Linked DNA regions of Arabidopsis thaliana. The protein of the gene in region 3 interacts with the protein of the main gene of each other region in a pairwise test. Each region holds a gene or a part of one and is shown on either strand. Other genes may lie near its edges.

Evidence for each region.
Region 1: the proteins of AT2G32040 (region 3) and TPI interact in a protein complementation assay, tested with the Arabidopsis thaliana proteins (one large-scale study listed by BioGRID).
Region 2: the proteins of AT2G32040 (region 3) and AT4G27610 interact in a protein complementation assay, tested with the Arabidopsis thaliana proteins (one large-scale study listed by BioGRID).

The regions. Positions count from the first base shown.
Region 1 is NC_003074.8:20,551,737-20,557,159, forward strand, and holds TPI (triosephosphate isomerase), read left to right. Parts: upstream 1-1,666; 5' UTR 1,667-2,057; coding exon 2,058-2,096; intron 2,097-2,423; coding exon 2,424-2,499; intron 2,500-2,789; coding exon 2,790-2,913; intron 2,914-3,257; coding exon 3,258-3,342; intron 3,343-3,436; coding exon 3,437-3,569; intron 3,570-3,747; coding exon 3,748-3,842; intron 3,843-3,952; coding exon 3,953-4,031; intron 4,032-4,117; coding exon 4,118-4,200; intron 4,201-4,291; coding exon 4,292-4,342; 3' UTR 4,343-4,824; downstream 4,825-5,423. Other genes in the region: AT3G55430 (O-Glycosyl hydrolases family 17 protein), read right to left, coding at 1-268.
Region 2 is NC_003075.7:13,784,867-13,790,187, reverse strand, and holds AT4G27610 (intracellular protein transporter), read left to right. Parts: upstream 1-1,672; 5' UTR 1,673-2,104; exon of another isoform or gene 2,105-2,814; 5' UTR 2,815-2,855; coding exon 2,856-3,039; intron 3,040-3,126; coding exon 3,127-3,231; intron 3,232-3,824; coding exon 3,825-4,540; 3' UTR 4,541-4,775; downstream 4,776-5,321. Other genes in the region: AT4G27620 (intracellular protein transporter), read left to right, coding at 1-44, 441-1,129; NARA5 (pfkB-like carbohydrate kinase family protein), read left to right, coding at 5,183-5,321.
Region 3 is NC_003071.7:13,633,231-13,638,668, forward strand, and holds AT2G32040 (Major facilitator superfamily protein), read left to right. Parts: upstream 1-1,863; 5' UTR 1,864-1,885; coding exon 1,886-2,117; intron 2,118-2,205; exon of another isoform or gene 2,206-2,225; coding exon 2,226-2,476; intron 2,477-2,555; coding exon 2,556-2,620; intron 2,621-2,691; coding exon 2,692-2,854; intron 2,855-2,953; coding exon 2,954-3,102; intron 3,103-3,203; coding exon 3,204-3,464; intron 3,465-3,577; coding exon 3,578-3,746; intron 3,747-3,839; coding exon 3,840-3,932; intron 3,933-4,062; coding exon 4,063-4,362; 3' UTR 4,363-4,648; downstream 4,649-5,438. Other genes in the region: AT2G32030 (Acyl-CoA N-acyltransferases (NAT) superfamily protein), read right to left, coding at 1-11; AT2G32050 (cell cycle control-like protein (DUF572)), read right to left, coding at 4,649-5,413.

The DNA.
Region 1 (5,423 bases), on a different chromosome or scaffold from region 3:
ACGCCGGAATATCACCGTTAGGAACGGTGACAACGACGGAGATACCAGTTCCAGCGAAGGCACGTAGGATATCGGGATTCACATCGAAGATCTTGACGCTATCAATCGAAGTTTGTGTCTTGATAAAGTTAGCCACCTGAGTCGGTGGTGGGAGGTTTCCGAGAGTTCCGTAGTTAACACCGATGGCGGAGATCACGGCGGGGATGGTGAGGAATACGGCGGCGCAGAGGAGGAGGAGAAGAGAGATTGACGGTGGCGCTTTGGCCATCTTTTTATATTTCGGAAATGAGAAAACCAAACGATTCCAAGTGAAACCCGTGAATCGTTTGAGTTGTGTTTTTATTATTACGACGAATAGATTTTTTTATTCTTATCGAGAAAGTATTTATAATAAAAATTAATAGATATGACCGTTTTGTATAGCGTATACGTGTGTATATTTTTAGTGAGGAACAGCTGGATTTTGTGGAAAGCAAAATAAAAGAAGAAGTTTGTGTTGTCTTTGTTTTTCATGTGCGTCGGCTTAAATTTAGGCCGTTGTAAATTATTGAAAAAGTGGATTTTGTTGTGACCGTGGAAACTTTAGTTAATTAATTTGGCTAATTATAGAGTCTGCTTTTGTTTGGATAATCAATTTGTCATCTTTTTCTTTAATGGTTTTTGGCTGGTAAATACTCATACTATCCAAGTTTAATCTAAAAATATACCTCTTTCTTGTTAATCGTAATTTTACAATCCTAATTTTATCCAGATACGGATGAACTATATTTGAAAAAAAGGAACTAAAGTGAAGTTAAGAAAACAAAAGAGAGATCGAGTGTTGTTTTTTCTTGGATACGTTTATTAAAAGATGTTCTTAATGAGGTCAAAGGAGACTATCTGAGTTTTTACTGCTAAACTTAAAACTAAAAAAAAAATCGATTAGTAATATTGATGTATCAACGAAATGTATATGGTTAAATATTAAGTGAAAAGAAAAAGAAGAGAGATCGACGCGGTTTGGGATAATGCCATTGGCCCATTGGACACGTGTTTGTAGGAGGAATAGTTTGGAGTTTGAACACTACGGACCAAAGTCAAAGAGATTCGAAGTATGAAGATGTTGTTGAGGAAGCTGATTCGAAGTAACTTTTACCGACACGCTTTAGCCATTTGTTATGCTTTCTTTGGGAAAAGAAGATCCGCGTCCATGTCTCATTGTTAACAGTTTATTGTCATTTTCAATGACATGGTTACACTCATTGCACACACACACAAACCACGTAATTTTGTATTTTTTTAATTAAATCCCATCCTTATTTTTTGCAATAACAAATTACCATTGTTACTTTTTAATGATATCACATAAAATAATCGATGCCACTCGATAGCCCTTTAGACTAACAATATGTTTGTTGAAGTATGCCACAATGTTTGAAGTGAGCCGGCTCAATGCTCTCATGGTGGTTTAGTAGTTTAACTTGAGAACTTACAACAGTTTTCTCCTTCTCCACACTATTTGTATCCAAGAAGGGGCATTACAATATAGAATTGCATAATACGATTTAAACTTTTACCAAAAAAAAAAAAGAAAAAAAAAGAAAGAATTGCGTAATACAGAATTTATCTTTAAGGGAATACAAATATAATTTGGTTTCAGAATCATCTCAATAGGCTTTCCTTTAACCAAACTTGGGTTTTATTGATGTGCTTGCTTTAATGGGCCTAAAGCCCATACAACAGCATCACTATCCACGCCGTTGTCTATTCTTATTATTCACCCCACCCGGTACACCGACCAAACCTTGGCCAACACGTCCATAATATTTCATCCTCCCTCCTAATTTACTTTAATATCCTCAACTTTCCTAATCGTTCAGGGAATATTCTCATATACCCTAGACATATGCGTCTTTTCCAATCTAAAATGTTGAGAGTATATTTTTATTTATATATATATGAGTGACCCCTGCGAGAGACAACGGCCACTGAACACTATCGATCTAATCTTTTCAGCTCTCTCCATCGTCGTCGTATCTGTGACTCTCGTGATCATCGCCTGAAAAAAATTTGAGATAATGGCCAGAAAGTTCTTCGTCGGAGGCAACTGGAAATGTGTAAGTGATCTTTACCTTCTATTGCGCACCTTATTATTAGTCTTGTCACTTGATCCTTCCCCGATCAAGTCAAAGAGATCGGAAAATCCCGATCTTAAGATCTAAGGTTTTTTTCATTATTTGTAGCGGTGGAATTTGAATTGTAATGCATATGGTTCAGATTTGTCGATTCTATGCCGGATCTTAGTTGTTTTTTTTTGTCAAAATTTTGAGTAGGAATTTTTCTTCAATTGATATCTCGTGTTCTAGCTTTGGTGGATCCGTGTGTTAATTTTGTTGGTTAAACTATTTTAACATGTTAATATTTGAATTTGTAATCTTATATAGAACGGAACTGCTGAGGAGGTGAAGAAGATTGTGAACACTCTTAATGAAGCTCAGGTTCCTTCACAGGATGTTGTAGGTATGTGTAGCATCTCAATTGCTTTGACGACATTATGGCTTTTTTTTTAATTTCCATGTCTATGAAATCTTAAGTAGTGACAAATATTTTGGGCATACAATTACAAACCTGTTTCAATGTACATCGATGTTCTATAGTGTTTATGCTTCTTAGGAACCATGGATAGATCTAGTGTTTGTTGTTAGTTAAAATGTTCTTTATCATATACTTGTTATGGTTCTATCTTTGTTGATAGTTATAAGTATGTTTGTTCTTGTATTAATAATTTGATGAAATTTTACTAAATGCAGAGGTTGTGGTTAGCCCTCCATATGTTTTTCTTCCCCTGGTTAAGAGCACATTGAGGTCTGACTTTTTTGTTGCGGCACAAAACTGTTGGGTTAAGAAAGGAGGTGCTTTCACTGGTGAAGTGAGGTGAGATTCTAACCATTGGTGTATACTTTAAGCTGTTTTACCATTATTGCTTCATGCAGTAAATATTTATGGTTTTGAAAATGAATATGATTGTGTTTATAAACGAATCGATTTTTCCATCTGTTCTTCTTCTTTATCTTCTTTCCTATAAGAATTGTGTAACCTAAGTGATTAAGAAAACAACTAGTAGTTGGTAGTAAGACCATGATTGGATTCGTGCCTGGTTAGACAAGTAGGTGTAATATGATTTACCTGTCTATGGAATGCTTTCATAGGAAGAAAAGATATATTCTGTGGTGCCTGTATTTCCTGCTCTTATGCATTGTGTAATTTGTGTGTTTTAGTGCGGAGATGCTTGTGAACTTGGATATTCCATGGGTTATCCTTGGTCACTCTGAAAGGAGGGCAATCCTTAATGAATCAAGCGAGGTTGGTGACTTTACATGATAAAATAATTTTCTGGAGACTCAAATAGCTTTTAAATTCATGATTTTGGTTTTTGACCTCTATCCTACATTTGTAGTTCGTCGGAGACAAGGTTGCCTATGCACTTGCTCAAGGTTTGAAAGTGATTGCTTGTGTTGGTGAGACTCTTGAGGAGCGGGAAGCTGGATCGACCATGGATGTTGTGGCTGCCCAGACCAAGGCTATTGCCGGTATGTATATTGTCAAACATTTAATCTCTTTTTGCTATCTCAGTTCGTTCTCGTTTACAGTGAGACCTGTTTTGATGATAGTGATGCCCGTTTCTACGCACTATACTCCCTTAGTGTGTGATTCAAACCCCACAGAAATATTTGTTGGCTAAAAAACTCTTTTTGTTGGTAATGGCAGATCGGGTGACAAACTGGTCAAATGTTGTCATAGCCTATGAACCAGTGTGGGCCATTGGAACCGGAAAGGTCGCTAGCCCAGCCCAAGCTCAAGAAGTAAGTGGTTCTCGATGCGCAGTTGCACTGTAACGTGTTGCATATGGTCATGATTTAATAGGAAAACCAATGCTGTTTTCCTTACGAGAGCTTGTTTCGTTTATGAACAGGTACACGATGAGCTGAGGAAATGGCTGGCCAAGAACGTGAGTGCTGATGTCGCTGCTACAACCCGCATCATTTATGGAGGTAGATAGATGATAACACGATCTTTAATTAAACACCCCTATATAGTTTTCTATGTTACTTAGCTTGATTATGCAAATTATTATCAGGATCCGTCAATGGTGGTAACTGCAAGGAGCTAGGTGGACAGGCCGATGTTGATGGTTTCTTGGTCGGTGGTGCTTCTCTAAAGGTACATATAATATGGTTTCTCTTGTAATGATATCTTTCGTTTGTCTCTTTCAAAACCATGACTAATGTTTTCATTCTTGGTCTTTTTGCAGCCTGAGTTTATCGACATCATTAAGGCCGCAGAGGTGAAGAAAAGTGCCTAATGAGCTCATTAAGCAATTTAAAAGTCCTTTGCTTTTCCAGTCGCAACTCTGAAAAAATGAATAAGTTGGTATTATGATATGATACATTTTGCTTCAGTTGTATTTGGCAAAAGTTTCTCTCTTACTATATTGTTTTGAGAACGCAACAATCATTTTCTTCGCCATTTATTTAGCTGTGGACTTGCAATTTGCAAATCCCTTCCTTTTACAGTCTTCTCAACTCTTCAGAGAATCTGTGTTTGGAGTTCATAACCCCTCGGGCCTTTTGATCAAACCCCTATTTCTAATGTCGTCCGATCATAAACCTGTGTGTTATATAATATGTTGTTTGTTCCATTTTAGACTTTGGTATTTTGTCATGCTTGATCTCTGAATCATGCTGTCAACCACTTTGAAAATGGCTTTACTTGTTAAATAAATGACGAGAGAATACAGGAGAAGTGGGAAATGACTTTATTTTTTCCCTTTTATCGCTTTTTGCCTATTGGTCTGTCATTTTTGACATTTTAGCTTTTAGAACATTATTATTTTCAACTTTATTGTCATCATCTTGAAAAATGTCCAACATTACGAAATTATTATGTAGAGAGTAAAAAAGGAAAAGAAATTTCATGGAGAAACTCATTGTATTAGGAATGTCAATGTTTGTAGAAAACAAAATGCTTATGTAATTTGAGTAAAACGGCTCAGTGGAACTAAAGTGATAATGTAAAAGAGACGGTTAAGTCCAAAATAAGAGCTCCCGTATGTCAGAATTGTTCAAACCATTTATTAAAAAATTGGACTCAGTATGATGAAAATGTGTATGGATTTTGATCCGACCACGAAAATCCAACTAGTGCCAATAAAAACTCCACAATATGTGACTCAGCTACAAATGTGATAACGTATTATCTCCCAAGTCAACCCACATTTCTGGTGACTTATATTTTATTTATTTCTGAGTAATATTTAAGAAAGTAGGGATTGAATTTTTATGAGTATTATATTATATAGTTGACCTTGGACTTATTTGCGTAACGAGCAAACAATTGTGACCTTAGAAATGGAGGTTTGACTAAGTCATCGATCATTTCAGCAA
Region 2 (5,321 bases), on a different chromosome or scaffold from region 3:
ACCCTGTGAAAGGAATAATGATTGTTGCTTTCACTGCACTCCCGGTGAGAGTTTGTGAGTTTGTTATTCTTACTACTGAATTTGCTTATACATAACTTCACTTCACATAGTCTCTTACTGGGGTTTGATTTTGTGGTATCTTTGAAGTGAAAAGAGATTTTGGGAGATGTTGTCAAATAGTTGAAAGAATATGGAGATGGTTCTTACATATTTGTAGCCTCTAGTATCTTGCATAATGATCTTTGTAACCCAATCAGGAACAATATTTGACTAAAGATGTCTTTGTACCCCAATCAGGATTCATACTTAAGTAGCTACTTACGTTAATGAGCTGGAAACTATGAAGGCTGTAGTATTATCCCCCAATGATGGCTTGTGTTATGGCAGAAAAGTTTTGTGTGGGTGTTCTGAGAGTTGGCTTCTTATTTTCATTTATGCAGGAACTGAGAATGGGGAAGGAAATCATGCTACAAATGAGCAAATGGCAGAGTCCAGTACTTCTCTGCCTCTTGTGACAGTTCCTGCTTCATCATATAGCAAAGAGAGTGCAGTCGTATGGGGATCTTCTCCTGACCACCTGGAAGTGCCGATGAAAGCATACCATCAACATTCGACCTGCTCAGATTCTCCTTGCGTATCTGAATCCGGCTCAGACATCTTCAGCAAGCGAGAAGTAATACAGAAACTGAGGCAACAGCTGAAGAGACGTGACGACATGATAGTTGAAATGCAGGAACAGATTCTAGAGCTGCAAAACTCGCTAAACGCCCAGATGGGACACTCTAGCCATATCCAAACACAGCTAGACGCAACAAACAGGGACCTGTTTGAATCAGAAAGAGAAGTCCAGAGACTGAGAAAGGCAATCGCTGATCACTGCGTGGGACACACAGGTAGCAATGGTTGGAGTGGCGATGTGAACAGCGAAAACAACTACGAGTCACCAGAAAATGGAATAAGGGATGGAGAAAGAATAGAGATGTTGAGAAAAGAAGTGGGTGAGCTTAAAGAAGTGATAGATGGGAAAGAGTATCTACTTAGGAGCTATAAGGAGCAGAAAACAGAGCTTTTGCAGAAGGTAAAAGAGTTGCAGCAGAGACTGGACTCGCAGCTCCCAAACATTTTGTAGGTGAAGAAGGTTAGGCATTGTGCATTCTTACCACTCTCTTTTGTTTCCCCGAGTAAAAAATATGAATCTTTGTTCAAAAATATCTCAATTTCTCCGGGGAAACTTATCAACTGACTACATTGTTTTGGGTGTCAATTATGATTTTATCCAAATTGTTTTTTTCTCTTGGTGAAGTGGATATTCGAAAGTTGCAAACTCATACAATATCGTGTCTCAAGGCTTAAATTGTAGAATTGCAGTTGAAGTTTTTTACAAGAAAGTTGGTTACTTGTTCTTAAGGAAAGAGAAAGAAGGGTTGCTAAAATTTAATTTGGCACTTATTTCAGTCAGGTTTTGATATTCATAAGGAAGAAAATCGTTAGAGAAGGAAGGACCAAATATTTAATTTTGTAGTTGTCACATAGTGAAGAAGACAAAAGAAAAATGTATCATCACATTAGCTGGTAGTGACTTAAAATAGAAAAAAAAAAATAATCAACAGAAAGTGCAAACATTTACACATGGATAAAGATGTCAAATGTTCATTCATACTCAAATTATCTATTAAATTTCATTACTAAAAAATTGAAATCGTAAAGAAGAAAAGAAAGAAGAAAAAAACATATGAGCTGAGTTTGTTAACCACCGTGAGCGTCATCCATGGGACGTGGTTGACGCGTGCGTGATTTTATTTTAATAAATGAATTAACAGTGGAAGGAAAAAACAACAACGGAGCTGTAACTGTGAGGCGCCGTCTCTCTTCAACCTCTTCCCCTCCACTTTGCTTCTCTCTCTCCTCCCCGGGGGTTTTACAGTCATATCATCGTCGGAGACTCTGCGATTCTTCACGGAATCGTATTTCTCTCTCAGCGATTTTTTTCGATTCTCGAAGCTGCAAGGACCACCCATCAAACATTGAAACTCAAGCGGGAGAAATTTTCTGGCTCGGGAGGGAAACTATGGAGCCCTAATGCCCATTTTCTGCTGTCTATGAGGTTTTTTAAAGAGTCCTTTATACTCTCCCTGTTTTTGGGTGCTTCGCTCGCTCACTGATTTTTGATTCGTCGGAAAATCTATTTTCGAGCTCGGATTTATGTAATTCCTTATTCTCCTTCTGATTGCGATTGTTGTGTTCATTAAGGGTTGTTGGGATATCGATTAACGGCCCCTATCGAAAAAAATAAGGGTTGTTATTATTTTCATTTCGCTTCATGTTCAAGGCAAGTATCTATCTCTTCTTCTTGCTTTTGTAGTTTTAGAATCTAAATCCCATGGCATCAACGTTTCGATTACTCTTTCAGGGAACTCCATTTTTCTTGCATTTGCTTTTTTTGAGGTAGAGTCTGTGCTCCTATATGATTCCATGGATTCGTCGTATACTTTCTCAACTGAGAATGTTTGACTTAGAGAATCTTCCATTTTTTTTTTTGTCTTTCTCTTTTCAGTGTTACTATCATTTTAGATCTTTTTTTTGTTTTTCCTTCTCTGGTTGACTGTGTTTGAGGTAATGCTCAAAACGTGATTCTTTGTGCTCATTATCTTTTCATATTCTAGTTTCTGGAATCTTTCTGGGTATTAAGCATTTGATGATTTTAAAATTGTATATTTGTTGATTTTATTGAGTTGACACCAGGTTTCTTGTTGACATATGCCCAATTCATTCTGATCGTTGATGATGATTGATTCTTGTATCCGTTCAATGTAGGTTATGTTTGGATGATAGATACATTTTGACTTTCTCATACAATGAGTACACGAAGAAATGGCATTTCCAAGCATCAGCGAGGTGATAAATTTTGTGGTGAAGGGCCAAACTGGATACTAATTGCAGGGGGTGCATTGTTGAGCACATTGTCCATTCGCTTTGGATACAAGCTAAAGCAGTCGCTTGATTCGAAACCTCAATCAAATGGCTCTGCTGGATTAAAACGTACTTACTTTATCGCTGTGTTGCTTAACATGTTTTATAATTTGGTTCTAGTTTTTTTCTATCACTAAATGAAAGCCTCTTGTGCAGCTAATGGAACATCTGAGAGGCAAAAATCTACAAGCTGTTGCTTACACTCTACCACATCTTCCTGTACACAAAATAATGATTTTTGTTGCTTCCGCTCCATTCCAGGTGTGACTTTGTAACTTTCTGTTTTGCCTCATACATATTTGTTCAATCTACTAAACAAACGCTATATGCTTGTTTCTTGGTCTCGCATCATGTCTTACTGGGTTTCCTTTCATGAAGTTAAAACGATGTGTGATATATAGTAAAATCTAGTTGGGAGAATGTGTAGATGTTGTTATAGAGTTCTAGCCTCTGTTATCTTACCTCATGATGTATTTGTCAACTAGGGGAATCCAATTCGAAGTTATGGAATGAGTAAAATAGTTACAAGATTTGCCACCTTGCAATAACTGGTTGAATCGAATATCTCTTGTTTCGTTGTGGCATATTACCATTAATTTGCATCAATTGGGCTGGCAACTAGGGAAGCAGGTTTTCTCCATTGATGGCTGTGTCTAGTGGCTGAATGCTAAAAACAGTTACTAGTTTTGTTATCTACCAAGACCTCGTTAAGCATAGTTACAAGTTTTGTACTATTAGATCCAGACCTGAGTTATGTTTTCTCTTTGGAAAATCTCTGAATCCTAATATTCATGTAGTCCAGAGCAAACAGTCGTGTATGGATCTTATCAGCCTTTGCTTCTTTATTTTTATAGGAACTGAGAGTGTGGAAGGAAAAGAGGTGACAAGCGAGCAAATGATATCCGCATCTGACACTTCACTGCCTCTTGTGACAGTTCCTGCTCCATCGAGCAAAGAGAATGGAGTCATGTGGGCAACTTCTCCTGATCGCCTGGAACTTCCCCCAAGACCATACAATCACAATTCAAACTGCTCAGATTCTCCTTGCGTATCTGAAACCAGCTCAGACATTTTCAGCAAACGAGAAGTAATACAGAAACTAAGGCAGCAGCTGAAGAGACGGGATGACATGATACAGGAAATGCAAGAACAGATTCTAGAGCTGCAAAACTCGTATAACGCACAGACGGCACACTCAAGCCATCTCCAGGCACAGCTAGACACACTGAACAGAGATCTGTTTGAATCAGAAAGAGAAGTTCAAAGACTGAGAAAGGCAATTGCTGATCACAGCGTGGGATGTGGCGCGGACAGCAATGGCAAGACATCTCCGGTTGGACCTTGGAATGGCGGGTTTATGGACAGCGAAAGCAATTATGAGTCACAAGAAAAGAGCCTAAGGGATGGAGAAAGAGTAGAGATGTTGAGAAAGGAAGTGAGTGAGCTTAAAGAAGTGATAGATGGGAAAGAGTATCTACTTAGAAGCTATAAGGAGCAGAAGATTGAGCTTTCGCAGAAGGTAAAAGAGTTGCAGCAGAGACTGGACTCACAGCTCCAAAACTTATTGTAGGTGGAAAGGTTAGGCATTGTGCATACTTGCGTCTCTTATTTTTTTTTTCGGTTCTTTTTCCTTTTTCGAGAAAATGAATCTTAGTATGTACTAAGAACGGTGGAGATCAAGATTTTCAGGTTCTTTCTGGCTTTCTGCTTTCGTTTTTGAATGTCTTGATTCTGTTTTTTCTTTCAACATTTGGTGTAAAGGTAAATAGATAGTTGTTGAAGAATTTACCGCGGGAATAGCTCTCTACTTTTTTTTTTTTTTTATTCTCCGTAATTGGTAACTAACCCGATAATTACAAACGCCACGTATAAGGATGTGTTCACTAGAAGAATTAGCCAATTTTAACACAAATGATAAATAGTATAAACAAATTTTAAATTTATAAATAGACGCAACATACATTATTATTTTTAAGATACAGTTAAAATAAAATTGTTAGCAATTATGCTTATTCTGAAATTTTGGGTTTGAATATAAATAAGAAATAGAGTTTTATCCTAATAAGATTTATATAAATAAACATATAAAGTCAAAGTCATACTTTATCCTCTCAGAGGCCGTCTCTCGGGTTTTGCTGGTCTTCCTTGCTCCTCTCGCTTTTGAATGGAGATGTGAGCTTTCTTCATTCAAAGAGCAAAACTATCTAATTCCATGGCGTTCTCCCTCCTCTCTCCAATTCCTACCTCTGCCTCTCTTTTTTTCACTCTCTCCGCCATTACCGCTTCTAATAATGCTTCCTCCTCCTCTCTCTCCCGTCTTTACTCTTTATATCACCCCAAAGGAACCTTAC
Region 3 (5,438 bases):
TCCATCTCCATTGACTTTTTCTTGGTTACTTTCCTTTTTGAGTCTTTGAAGCTTCTTTGGGATTCTTTAAAATAAATTATCTCTCTCAATTCTTACAGATTTGTGTAGAGGCATTATGATAATACTTCTTCTACAAATCACGATTTAAATACTGATTTTTTTTTAACAAAAAAGAAAATAAACAGAACGTTCCTTCTTGCTTCGATCGGTCAAATACGCAACAATTAGTTCTTGTTGAATGGAAGGTGTGAAAAAGACGGTTTATAATGGGTATGGGTGAACCGTATATTTACCATCCATTCATCGTTTTTGATTTAAAAGAGGTATATTCAATCTAGTATTTAAAGTGACTTTCGTAAATTTTACAAGTATATGTTATTTAATTATGGATTTTGAAAATTCTAATGAAATCTAGTGTTATTAAAATAATAATTTAAAAATCTACCTTTAAATTCACTGTTATTAAAAATAATTTATGGATTTGATTTTTATAAGAATGTATTCAATCTAATATTTTAAGTGATTTGTGTAAAATTTATAAATTCTATGTTGTTCGATTATGGATTTGAAAAACTTTAATGAAATCTAGTATTATTGAACTAAAGATTTAAAATTCTATCTTAAAATCTATTGTTATTGAAAATAATTGGTAGATTTGATTCTTATTAATTTTGAAGGATTTGAGAAAGTTCTTTAGTTAAAAATAACAAAATCGAAATTCATGGTCTTATATAGAATTTTAAAATATTTTATAATAAATCACATCAATTTTCCTAAAATCATCAAACTCATATAAAAACTAGCTAAAACTCAAATTGTAAGGTCCAAATTAATGAGTCAACTCAACTCAACTCAACTCAATCCATGAACCCTAATGAGTTGAAAATTTTGACTCAAATGAGTTGATGAGTCAAATGAGTTGATGAGTCAATTGGTTTGATGAGTAAAATGAGTTGGGTTGTAATGGTTAATGGTTTCAATGGTTTATCCAATTAACCCATCAAATTTTGTAAAATTGAATTAAACCAACTAAAATCTCTAAACCAATGCCAATTTAAGTCTAACCAACACATCTAAACCAATTTAATAAAATTAATATTTTTCCAAATTTCTTAAATATACAAGCGATGAAATTGAGAAAAAGTAAACCCGTAATTTTTCCGCCAAAAACGTAAATCCGTGATTTTCCCGCCAAAAACGTAAATCCATGATTTTCCCGCCAAAAACGTAAACCCGAGATTTTCCCGCCAAAAACGTAAACCCGTAAAAAGTGGAATCCGTAAATATATTAAGTTTTGATGATAATGAATTAATAATGATAATTATTTATTATTATTTTATAATAATAATTAATTAAATTATTACTTAAATGGGTTAACCCATTTAACAACTCAACCCATTAAATTAAATGAGTTATGGGTTGACTTAACCCATTTAACAAAATGAGTTGGATCAACCCATAACTCATTTAACCCTAAACTCATTTGATTATGAGTTGAGTTGAGTTGTGTTACCCATTTTGACACACTTAGATCTAATACACCTCTTTATTAATTTTAAAGGATTTGAGAAAATTTAAAAAGATTTATTTAGTTACATATATAAAAATTCAAATCTCATATTTTTACTGGAATTTGATTTTTTTTTTTTACAATAAATCACATAAAAAGACATTAAAACTCAAAATTATTTAAAATATAAGGTTCAATACATATTTTGTCAATAAAAATTTAATAAGCTGCTAATATAGTTCATGAGAAAAATCAAAAATTAATTTATCAATCGAAAAAAAAGACGAAGAAAAATTAATTTATCTACGTAGCGCAAGAGACGGAGTGTTGTTTATTTAAAGAAAAGAAAGAAAAAAAAAAGAACGAATATTAAAATGGCGAGTCGCTCTCTTTTCTCTATCTCAATCTCACCTTCTCAATTTACAGTTTTGCCATCCATCAACAACGAGAGACGACGCCTTGCTATCGCCGCTCGATCTCACCGACTATCACGCCGGAAGATTCGTAAGAGACCTCCTGATAGAGATATGTCCTCCATAGTTTCAATCCCGGAGCTTCCTCGCCGGCGGGATTCTGAGGAAAGCCTGCTTTTAGATTCTCGAATCAGTAAGTTCTTAAAGCAACAGAATCCTCAGAAATTGGCATTTGGGATTAGGTTTTGCAAGTATCGAAGCTCCATTAACTGAATCCTCAGAAATGTGTGTATATGAATAGGTGTAGCTGAAGGAGATACATCGAATACAGATGTAGAAGGAGACAGAGATACTACTTCTAGTATTAGAACACAGCCTCCCCCTCGTAAAGGAAGAAATCTTAGTAGCAGCAGAATCAAATTCTACGGTGTTGAATTATCACCAGATAATGTTGCTGTAGCAATGGTGTATTTTGTTCAAGGTGTTTTAGGACTCGCTAGGCTCGCTGTTAGTTTCTATTTAAAAGATGACTTGCATCTTGATCCTGCTGAGGTATGCTTTTTGTAGTTCCTTGTTGGACTTTCATGGGAATATCTCTTTATAGGCTGACAAATATATACCTCTTGACTAGACAGCTGTGATAACGGGTCTTTCTTCATTGCCGTGGCTTGTTAAGCCTCTCTATGGTTTTATCAGGTATGAGTTCTTTATCACCTCTATACCTCTTGACTGTGATAACTGTTTAAGGAAGTTGGTCTGTTTTGCAGTGATTCAGTGCCTCTATTTGGTTATCGAAGGAGGTCATATCTAGTTCTCTCGGGACTTCTTGGTGCATTTTCTTGGAGTTTGATGGCTGGTTTTGTTGACAGTAAATATAGTGCTGCTTTTTGTATACTTCTCGGTTCCCTCTCTGTCGCCTTTTCTGATGTTGTAAGTTTTCAAATCCATTCTGGTTAACTTAGCTTGGTTAAGTTGCAAGATAGAGTTGGATATATTGAAATATTAATTAAGTGGTTAACGTTTTAATAGGTAGTAGACTCAATGGTAGTGGAACGGGCTCGTGGTGAGTCACAAAGCGTGTCAGGATCGCTGCAGTCTTTGTGCTGGGGATCCTCAGCTTTTGGTGGAATTGTGAGTTCCTACTTTAGCGGCTCCCTGGTGGAGTCATATGGTGTGAGGTACAGTTCACAATTTGCGCAAACAGTAGCTTTTCTCTTTTTCGGTATTCCGTGGCATAGCTAACTAACTAAGTGGCATTCTAAAAGCTGTTATACCTCAGGTTTGTATTTGGGGTGACAGCTTTACTACCCTTGATAACTTCAGCAGTTGCTGTTCTCGTGAATGAACAACGTGTGGTCAGACCAGCATCAGGGCAGAAAGAGAATATAACGCTGCTCAGTCCTGGTTTTCTTCAGACCTCAAAGCAGAACATGATTCAGCTATGGGGTGCCATTAAGCAACCGAATGTTTTTCTCCCCACCTTATTTATATTCTTATGGCAAGCCACACCACACTCAGATTCTGCAATGTTTTACTTCACGTATGTCCTCTTCCACTTGGTTCATGCCTTCATGGTTATTGGCTTATTTCATATTCTCTGGAATGTATTAACTAGTCTCTAACTAATTTTATTTGGTACAAATTTCACCTCAGAACGAACAAACTCGGTTTTACCCCGGAGTTTCTGGGACGAGTTAAACTTGTGACCTCAATTGCCTCATTGCTTGGAGTAGGACTGTACAATGGATTCCTGAAGACTGTTCCATTGAGAAAAATCTTTCTCGTGACGACAATTTTTGGCACGGGTCTTGGGATGACTCAGGTTGGTTCCCGTCCGCTCTTTACAAGAAAAACTTTGCCATCTATTATCTGTTACACAACCAATAACTCTTGGGACCGTTCTTATGTTTTGCAGGTTATCCTCGTGTCAGGTTTTAACAGACAGTTGGGGATTAGCGACGAATGGTTTGCTATAGGAGACTCTCTAATCCTAACAGTCCTTGCTCAGGTTTACATATTTGTCAGCATTGAGTTTTTCAAAGGCTGCATTATTGGAATTTGTGATTCCATAGTTAATGGAGCATTATTGGAATTTGTCAATATCTATGCACTGACAGCTTAAAATCGAACTGTAACAGGCTTCATTCATGCCGGTTCTTGTGTTAGCAGCGAGATTATGTCCAGAAGGAATGGAAGCAACTCTGTTCGCTACACTCATGTCAATCTCTAACGGAGGCAGTGTTCTAGGTGGGCTTATGGGTGCAGGACTGACTCAAGCATTCGGCATTACAAGAGACAGTTTTGGTAACTTATCAACACTTATTATCCTCTGCAATCTTAGCTCATTGCTCCCTCTGCCTCTTCTCGGTCTTTTACCGCGAGATTCTCCAGATACTCTTACTAAAGATGACGCAGACGTTGAGATGAAGTCCAATTAAGGAAGATGATGATAATTATCAAAAGTTAAAATGTGATATACCTTTAGAGGTGTTCTGTGTATTCAGTTCCAACCCTGTTATTACTTGAAAAGAATGAAGCAGGCTTTTACATGGAAACTACTTTTACCCAAAATATCATGTAACCAAAATGTTGTAATTCTTAAAACAATAAACTCTTTTGTTATTAGATTGCAGAAAAATACTTCAATATGCAAAAATAGTCATGATAGTAATCTCTACAAGATAGTTTCTAACATGAATCTTGATTTGATTCAACAGACCTGATTCACTCTTCTTCATCAGCACCATAGTTGTGGCATAGTGATGCGAGTCCCAAACTTGTTGTCTTCTTCTTCTTCAAGGTTATAATGCAAGCAAGTTTCTTAGTCTTAGGTTTCTTCTCATCTACTGCCTCCATTCTTACTTTCTTCGTCTTCTCCATCTCATCAGTTTCTTCGTCGACAATCCTCCTCTGCTTACCAAATTTGGTAGACTTTATCAACGCTGCATCTTCCTCCTTTGCAACTTCTTCTTCTTCTTTGTGTCTTTTACTCAAATCCTCAAGCATAGAGTCTACACTCACCGATACGCGTCTAGATTTCATAGATTTCATCTCATCAAGTGCAGCCATTACATCAACCTCTCTTTTCGAAACCAAAGTTCTCTTCTCTAAAGAACTCATCCTATCCCCACCGTCCTCGGCTTGCTCCTCCTCCTCGTGTTGATCATAAACACAAGTTGCACCTGATTCGGCTACATAACTCGAATTCTTTGGATCAGTCTTCAATATCAGCTCGGTGCAACACTTACTGCACTTGAAGTAAAACCTATGGATTTTGATCCCTAAGTAGGTTTCTCCGATTACGTTTTCTTCACGGCAATTGATTTTGGTACCTTCCGACATGTAATTCCCACAGGTGTTGCATCGAATACGTAATGGAACCATCGAACGAATCTTCCTTTGCTGATTCTTAGGTTTTCGGATCCGAGGAATCTGCTTCGGATCAAAGTTTGGTGGATAGTATTTGTTCAAGCCTTTTCTTTCACCCATCGCGCAAGAAAGAACAACTAGAAAT